Ovis aries: one gene and its partner. The protein of the gene in region 2 interacts with the protein of the main gene of each other region in a biochemical or structural test. Links are inferred from orthologs where the notes say so. Each region holds a gene or a part of one and is shown on either strand. Other genes may lie near its edges.

What was found. The genes of interacting proteins can lie anywhere in the genome.
Region 1: of the proteins of CASP7 (region 2) and PANX1, one has a biochemical effect on the other in vitro, tested with the Homo sapiens proteins (2 studies listed by IntAct). The link is inferred for Ovis aries from reciprocal best matches to the Homo sapiens genes CASP7 and PANX1.

The regions. Positions count from the first base shown.
Region 1 is NC_056074.1:200,186-205,282, forward strand, and holds part of PANX1 (pannexin-1), read right to left. Parts: intron 840-5,097; coding exon 616-839; intron 1-615. UniProt on the Homo sapiens protein: Ion channel involved in a variety of physiological functions such as blood pressure regulation, apoptotic cell clearance and oogenesis.
Region 2 is NC_056075.1:33,721,607-33,725,810, reverse strand, and holds part of CASP7 (caspase-7), read right to left. Parts: coding exon 4,105-4,204; intron 4,074-4,104; exon of another isoform or gene 4,001-4,073; intron 3,553-4,000; coding exon 3,423-3,552; intron 810-3,422; coding exon 586-809; 3' UTR 1-585. UniProt on the Homo sapiens protein: Thiol protease involved in different programmed cell death processes, such as apoptosis, pyroptosis or granzyme-mediated programmed cell death, by proteolytically cleaving target proteins.

The DNA.
Region 1 (5,097 bases), on a different chromosome or scaffold from region 2:
AACTCTCTACAGTCCCATGGACCGTGATCTGCCAGACTCCTCTGCCCATGGAATTCTCCAGGCAAGAATACTGGAGTGGGGTGCCATTTCCTACTCCAGGGGATCTTTCCAACCCAGGGATTGAACCCACGTCTCTTGGATCTCCTGTATTGACAGGCAGATATTTTACCACTAACTAGCCACCTGGGAAGCCCAAAATGAGACCTACTAATGCTATTACTGCTATTGTCAATCACAAAAACCAAAGGAAGGATGTCCAAAAGAGCAAGGTGCTGTCTACTTGTTCCTTAGTTCCCTCATGTCCAATCTCGGTGCCCAGGAGCCTCATAATCCTGTGTTTCTCCATGAAGGGGAAGGTCAAAGCAACTCGCCCTGCAACTGAGAACATGAGCGAGTGATGCTTCACTCCACAAGGGAAGGACTTGAGGTGAGGACCGCGGCTGGGGCAGACAGGCAGGGTGAGATCTGGGGAGGGCGGGCCTTCCTGGCTCCCCCCGGGTGTCACGAGGCAGATGGCAGTCCCCCACGTACTAGTAGTGAGAACCTGAAGCCCAGATGGACAGAAGGGCAGCAAACTCGTACTCCCAAATCCCGATGGGTTGGGGGCTGAGTTACCTTTGCCCCATGTTCTCATTAACTTCTGGCACTGGGCAGGCACCGTCTCTCAAGTCAAGGTCATGCATGCTCTTTGCAGCTTTAATTGCGCGGTTGTAAACTTTGTCGAGTTCTTCCATGATAAACTTCAAATCTGAGCAAACATGAGGAGCAGCTGCGAAACGCCAGAACAAGGAGGGCAGGTACAGCAGGATGGCCACCAGCAGCAGGATGTAGGGGAAAAACTGAAAAACAGGGGAGCAGATCATGCAATCACCAGACCCCCCAGCCCCCACTGAAGTAACCATGCCAAGCACTGTTAGTGGTTTTCTCATTTTCACACTAAAGGCATCTCCACATCGCTTGTGAAAATCAGGCTCCTTACCCAGTAGCTACATCTTATGGCTAAATTCACCTGTCCAGGTAATACTTGACACTCTCCAACTTTGCTAGACTCAATTTGAAATAATTGGCAAGTACATCATGGCACATGATGTCTCCACTCTAATCAAAGAAAGAAACAAAAAATAAAATTGTTCCCTGGTCCTTTAAAATAATCCCTCAGCAAAATCACAATTAAGGAAGATGTTAATGTTACAGTGGCCTCCAGGTTCTTTTTTTCTTTTTTTAATCGCTATGGTTTTAGGAGGTCACTAAGGCTTTTGGAACTCTTTTTCTCCCTCTCTGGAATCTGGGAGAATGACACAGAAATGCACAACTTTGCTCAAAACAAATCAGAAAAATGTTGGTTTCAGTGACCCAGTAAACACCCCATGAAACAGCAGAAATAAGCAGGTAAAATCCACAAAGTGCAGAACGTATCTTCTGTAGAGGGACAGACCGTGAGGACCACACAACATTCTCATTTTACAGCCAGGTAATCTCAAGTCGGGAGAAGCCAACCATAATGAACCACAGTCATGGGGGAGCATCCCAATCTGGATGGTACGCAAAATCAACAAGAGAGGATTCAGAAGTCAGAGACGGCGAAGAGCATCCCATAACCAAGACCCCTCGGGAAGGGGGGAAAGGCTTAGCCTCAAAGACAGAGGAAGCTGCAGCCAGCACAGATGTGAAGTCAAGCTCAGGTAGTGGCCTGAACAGCAAGGTTGCTGAGCCTCTGACCTCAGTTTCCCTATCTATGAAATAGTCATGCAATACATGTGTTATGAAGATTAAATTAGATACCTTATGAAAAATGCTTTGCATGGTGCCTGGCATGTCACAGACACTAAAACACACCAACCAGAACCAACGAAAGGGCTACTAAGTGGCCACGCTAATGTCAATCCTCACAATGACCTTGGCAAAGCCATTACTGATGGCCTCATTTTTCAAAGAGGAAGAGGATGTCCAGAGCAATTTCTGGCCATGGAGCACAAAGCTGGTGACAGAGACAGAATACAAAGCTGGACCTTTCTGATCCCAGAACAATGCCTCTTTCACCATAATACACTGCAAATTATTTTACTTCTTGGAAAACTTCTCCCTCCCTTTGGACTGGTCTCTCTACATAACTCCTCAGAGCTGTAACAGAAAGAGGCTATGAAGGCCTTGAGTTGACACAAAAGCCCCACCCCAACATCTCTGGAAGGCGGCAGGAGACCAAGTGAGAGTGTGACTTACAACAGAAGTGTGTGTGTGCGTGTGTGTGTATGTGTGTGTGATCTCTGGAAGGCAGCAGCAGACCAAGTGAGAGTGTGACTCACTACAGAAGTGTGTGTGTGTGTGTGTGTGTGTGTGTGTGCGTGTGTGTGTGCGTGTGCTCAGTCGCATCCAGCTCTTTCTGGTCCTATGGACTGCAGCCTGCTAGGCACTTCTGTCCATGGAATTTTCTAGACAAGAATACTGGAGTGGGTTGGCATGCCCTCCTCCAGGGGATCTTCCCCACCCAGGGATCAAACATGCATCTCTTACATCTCCTACATCAGCAAGTGGGTTCTTTACCACTAGCACCACTGGGGAAGCCTGGGAAGCCACTATAGATTATTAACAGATGTACAGAAAAGTTGCAAAGATGGTCCAGAGTGTTCTTGAATGACCTTCATTCAGTATGCCCCACTGCTGACACTGGACATCTCCATGGTACCCTTGTTAAGAGGAAGAAACCGTTGTTGCTATATTACCATTAATTACACTTCAGGCTTTGATTTGGATTTCTCCAGTGTTCCCACTATTGCCTTCTTTTTGTTCCAAGATCTAGGGTATCCATTGTATTTTGCTGTCATGTCTCCCTAGAAACCTTGGTTCTGTGACAGTTGCTTAGTTTGCCTTGTTTTTCATGAAGAATAGCATTTTTAAACGCTTAAAATAACACAAATTCACAAAGGAAATGGATGACACTGATACACAGCTATCACATTAAAAGACAGATTTGTATATGGTTCTTATTTGATGGGATCTAGCACATTTGATGGGATCTAACAGATGGCCCAACAACACAGTAACTTGGAAGTGATGAAGAGTAAAAAGTATTCAAGGCAGCTGAGACTTCTATGGGTGACAGTGACAGGTGGTACCGATACCACTATGGATTCCTGACTACTTACTGACATGGTTTATAAAGTTTTAGTTGGAAGTAGACAGAAAATAAAGCTGCCCTATGTTTTCTTATCCCAGTTCATAATCTTCCTGACGCTATCATGGAGCCCACATTAGGAAGCCCTGCCCCACGGGCAAGACAAATAGCAGAAATGGCTCAGAAACTCCACAAAGTCCCACCAAAGCAGCTGCTTCCCTCGGGGGTTCTGGCATGGGATGACGTCCTCAAAATTACTAACCCAATTTACAAAGAGCTGCTACACAATGATACACACAAGAGGCTGTGAGTAGCTGCATTTTGGCCACATGATTTATTGTTGGCTACAGTGAGATGCAGTGTTCCTTTAATCCTAGTCACCCTTAAGGGTGCCCATTCATGTAAAAATGAGTTTGTGTTCCTTCCATAACCAGAAGAAACAGGGATTTCCTTTGAGAACCATGGAGGGAACACTGTTTCTAACTTGGGGCTATGGAATATGTATTTAAGTCACTTTTGTTTCAAAGCTATTTGAATAATAGCATTTTACCTCCAAGCATTCTTTTGAATTGAAAAGTAACTATTTACAGCCTATGACAATTTTTCTAACATGCCAAAACCATGCAATAATTAGCACCAATGAATAGTTCAACACCACTCACTGCAATTAGAAAAATGAATGTTTAAAGGTATTACATATCAAATGTTTGTTTTCTTCTAAATATCCTTGTACTTTGATCACCTGTAGTAGAATGTAGAGGAATGTCCCATTTCTTAGTTTTTCTTCATAGTTAAACCTTTCTTTTTCTTTTCCATCAGAAAGAAAAAAGTGATTTTCAATGAAACTGCAGCAAGATGGTTTTAAAATTAATTCCACTAAAATAGGAATTTTTTTTAAAAGGCCATGAAATTATATTCTTTAAAATCCTTTTGTCCAAATAAGGAGAATGGAAAAACTACCAGGCTTTCAAGTGCATCTGCTAGAGAGGAACGGCTTTGTTCCCAAGTTCTATCTACTCCCAGTTAGTTCTGAGGTCTCAGCATCTTTCAAAGTCGTGATTGCATGATTCAGAGTTTTTGCAGATGTAACTAGTGAAGATGAGGTCATACTAACTTAGCACAGCGTGCTCAGTTGTGTCTGACTCTTTGTGACCAAATGGACTGCAGCCCACCAGGCTCCTCTGTCCATGGAATTTACCAGGCAAGAATACTGGAGTGGGTTGCCATTTCCTCCTTCATGAGATCCTTCCATCCCAGGAATCAAACCCACATCCCCTGCATTTCTCCCACTGACAAGTGGATTCTTTACCACTGAGCCACTTGGGAAGCCTGTCACATTAACTTGTTATTGCTGTTGTTCTGTCGCTCAGTCATGCCTGACTCTTTGTGACCCCACAGGCTGCATTATGCCAGGCTTTCCTGTCCTTCACCATCTCCCAGAGCTTGCTCAAACTTATGTCCATTGAGTCTGCGATGCCATCCAACCATCTCATTCTCTTGTCCCCTTTTCCTCCTGCCTTCATTCTTTCCCAGCATCAGGGTCTTTTCCAATGAGTTGACTCTTCAGATCAGGTAGCCAGAGTACTGGAGCTTCAGCTTCAGCATCAGTCCTTCCAATGAATATTCAGGACTGATTTCCTTTAGGATTGACTGGTTTGATTTTACAGTCCAAAGGACTCTCAAGAGTCTTCTCTAATGCCACTGTTCTAAAGTATCAATTTTTTGGCATCCAGCCTTTTTCATGGTCCAACTCTCAAATCCACACATGACTACTGGAAAAACCATGGCTTTAAGTAGACGGACCTTTGTAAGCAAAGTAATGTTTCTGCTTGTTAATATGTTGTCTAGGTTTATCATAGCTTTTCTTCCAAGGAGCAAGCTAACTAACTTAAGGTGGGCTCTAATCCAGTGACTGGTATTCCTCTAAGCAGGCCATAAGAAGACACAGAGACACACAGAGGAGAAGCTATGTGAGGACGGAGGCA
Region 2 (4,204 bases):
ACCTAGAGTGGTTTCCGTTTTCTTGACTGGATCCTGACTGCTACATATTAGAATCATTATATTTTTTCCCCCTCTCTTAACATATCTGGGAATTTTTGCACAAGAATCTTCCCTAAGTCAATGAAAAATTCACTCAAACCGCATTCAATATTCCACTTTCTGCAATACAGGAGAATGAATATCCCTTTGGCTGTTTTTTGTCAAGGACTCTCTTTGCCAGGTACAAATATGACTCTGACAGTCTACCAAAGTCACCACCAGTCATGGTGGACACAGTCAAAAGTCATCTGCAGAGGTCATTTTTGTTGTATGTACTAAGTGCAACAACAAGGAGAAAGACAAACAAAATGAATCTTAAGAGAAAAAGTCATCAAATGGATAACAATGTAAAAAAAAGTCTCTGAAAAGTCAGAGACCATAAGACAGCACCAGAGAGTTTCTTTCCCGTTGAATCAATAATTTTCCTGAAATTAAAATCTTTTAGAATTTCTGGATCTTTTAAGAGCATTACGAAAAAGATTTCTGATTCATCAACAAATGATCCGTAGCTTCTCAGCTGGAATGCACCCCTGGAATGAATTATCTTCAGAAGTAGAGTTCCTTGGTGAGCATGGAGACCACACATGGAATCTGCTTCTTCTCGTGGAAGCGTGGGTCATCAGACTGGGATTCAAAGTGCCTGGCCACCCTGTCATTCACCCGGGTGAGGATCTGCAAGATCTCCAGGCTCTTCCCATGCTCATTCAGGATGGAGCAGAGGGCCTGCACAAACCAGGAGCCACTCCCTGGGTTCCTCCATGAATAATAGCCTTCAATGGGAGAAGAGAAAGGAGATGAAGTCAGCTGACCTGGCTGCTGCTTTGCTCACTACCCAGCAGGAGCTGTCTGTGACTGGGGCCTTCACATGCGCTCTTCTGAGATGACAGCAGTCCCCACTTCCCCATACTGGATATGTGTCCTCCAAACTCTGTACTACAGGGAATCATTCTAAAACACAAATCTCATGTTGTCCCCGAGAAATGGAATATTTCCTGCTCAGTAAACGAGGATGTCACAGTCATCAGTGACTGCAGCTCTCCAATGTGAGCTGGTGAGCACAAAGGGCACTCAGGAAGGAGAAGAATACCTGTGAGCTAGCAGCCATCAGACTGCGGCCACTCCCGATGGTGAGCCCCAAGGGAGCTCGGGTTGTGAAAAACACAGGATACTGGCCCCAGTAGTTGATGCATATGAAAGCAGTGATTTCAGGCAGTTCAGACTTTTGCATCTTCCCATACATAGAGAGGCATTACATTAATTTGGGTTATCTGGTTTTCTTTCATTAACAATAGCCTTTTGATGTTCAAACTACCCACCCTTTCGTTGCAAAACTTCTATATAACCTGGCTCCTTCCCTTGTCTCCTTGGAGTTCTCCCAAGATTACTTGAGATGCTATCTCCCAGGCTTAAGTCCTAAAAATTTCCATGTAATAAAACATAACTCTCAAGTTTTAGGTTGTGAATATTTTTTAAGTTGACATCCCTCTCTCACCTAAAATGGTTCCTTCTATATGAGGGTGAAATTTAGGCTGCTTAGCACATCCCACAGGGCCCACCACAACTGGGTCCCCATTTCCCTGTCTAGGTTTGAACCTTGTTCATGCCCAGTCCTGCAGTCCATGGGGTCGTGAACAGTTGGACACAACTTGGCTAATGAACAACAACATGCCCAGTCATACCCTGGGCTACGGCCTCTCCCCTCCCTGGGCCACGTCAGTGAAGAGGCAGTGGTCTACAAGCTAGGGTAGCAGCTCTCTTCAGAAGCTACAATGCCTGGCACCTTGATCTCAACCTCCAGAACTGTGAAAAATGAACTTCTGCTCCCTAGCCTGTGGACTTACGTTAGAGCTGCCTGTAAAGACTAACACACCCTGTGGTCCAGCTCTTGAGTTTTACCAATGCACTGAGCCACCTGCCCCTGGCACTCTGTCTGATAAGCCATTTCAACCTTCCTCCTGTTATTTGATTTTTAAAGACTTGGTTATAGAAGTTCTTTCTTTGAAGCCTCTCTCTCCCTAGAACTCACCCTTAGAGTTCACCCTTTTTCCTTCAGTTCTGCCAGACCTGGCTTAGGGCCCCTCCAACTCGACTGACAGGTTGGATTACATAACTATAAGCTCCTATGACTCTGCCTTCCTCTCAAAGGCAGGAACCAAATTTCTTTTTTACAGGATTCTTAAAACTGGGAAGTTTTCATTCTCACAAAATCCCATCTGTACATCTTGCCAGAGCTGGTTTTCCAAACACAACAGCCAACTTACTGTAACCAATACTTCTATACCAAGCACTTGACAACCTACTATCATAGCTGGGAGAAGTCAGTGATGGTTTTTACCCCAAACAATGGAGTTCACTGAACTTGCTCAGGCAAACCCAAACAAGAGGGAAGCTTGCTTGCTGCTGGCATTTCTGGTGCTTGTTTACAGGCTTGTTTAAAGGAGTCCTGGTCTGAGCTATATAACTCTATTATGTATGAAAATCTCTGTATGACCTTGGGCAGGTCACTTAAACTTACTCAAGCTCAATTTTTTTTTCTATCTGTAAAATTAGGACAGAAGTAACAACTTTCCTAACTACTACACAATTATTTCAGGGTAGAAGACACGAAAAACACTCAGTAAATAGGTACCATAGACATGCTTGTTCTTATAATTATCAATAATAATCATAATCATAATCATAAATGAGAGAATTCAGCTTTCTTTTGGAGAGAAAAGTGACTATATCGCCATGGTAAGCAGAACAGTGGCCCTCAGAAATGCTCACGCCATAAAGCAGGGGTCCTCAGGCTCTAATGCCTGATGACCTGAGGTGGAGCTGATGTAAGAATAATAGAAATTAAGTGCACAATACATGTAATGCACTTGAGTCATCTGGAAACCACCCACCCCCACCCTGGTCCATGGAAAACCTATTTTCCATGAATCATGTCCCTGGTGCCAAAAGGGTGGGAACTGCTGCCCTAGAGCACTTCACAGATGGGGCTGAGGTCAAGGAAACAAGATGGAGAAATTATCCTGGGATTATCCAGACAGGACTAATCTAACCACAGGAGCCCTTACAAGAGGGTCAGAAAGAACAACGTAAGGATGGAAGGAGGGTCAGGTACGAGGCTGCCAGCTTTGAAGCTGGAGGAAGGGGGCCACAGGCCAAGTAATGCAGGCAGTTCTAAACTGCTGAAAGTAAGGCTGTGGATTTGCGCCCCCTACAGTCTCTAGAAGGAACTGCTGTCCATTCTGGAATTCTGACCTGCGGGACTGTGTGTGTTCAGCCACCATGTTTGCCGCAATTTATCACTGCAGCAATAGGAAACTAACACAGCTCCAAGTCTCCATTTCGAAGGTGGGATGCACAGTGTGGTTAGCAGCCAAGGGACTTGATACCTGGAACTGTGGAATAGGCAAAGAGAAAGTCGGCTTCAACAGGGATCTTATATCGGGGATTAGCATCAGTGTCATTGATAGGTCCTGAGTCAGCCTGGATCCCGTCATCGAGCTCTGTCCCCCGGCAAGCCTAAAATCAACACAGAGATGGCTGCATGAAGCTGAGAATAGGAACACGTGTGTTACTCACAGCTGTATTCCACTGCAGTCCCAGAACTGTGCTTGGCATGTACCAACAACACAACGATGTCCAAGATAATCTGAAGATGTGTTGAATTAGCAAGCAGAGCAAATAAAAAGACTATACTGTCTTAAACTCAGATAATTTGTGATCCAATGCAAATACAGATGCCAAGCATTAGAGGTAGAAAAATACAACCTAAATTTGCATACCCCAATGGAAACAGCATGTAGATTTGTAAAAAATGATACAAGCCAAGTCACTCTGTAATCTTTTTTCATTTCTATTGACTTCGTTTTTTAAAATTATTTTCATACTTAGAGAAAATTAATTTATTTGTCTGTGCTGGGTCTTAGTTGCAGCTTAGTTGCACTTAGTTATAACATGTGGGATCCAGTTCCCTGACCAGGGATTGAACCTGGGCCCCTGGCATTGGGAGTGCAGAGTCTTAGCCACTGGACTACCAGGGAAGTCTCTCTATAGACTCTGAAAAGGGATTACCTGAATGAAGAAGAGTTTGGGCTTCTCTAACAGGGTTTTGCATCGATCCCCCCTAAAATGGGCTGTCAAGTCCTTTATTGCTGTCTTGCCATCTGTTCCA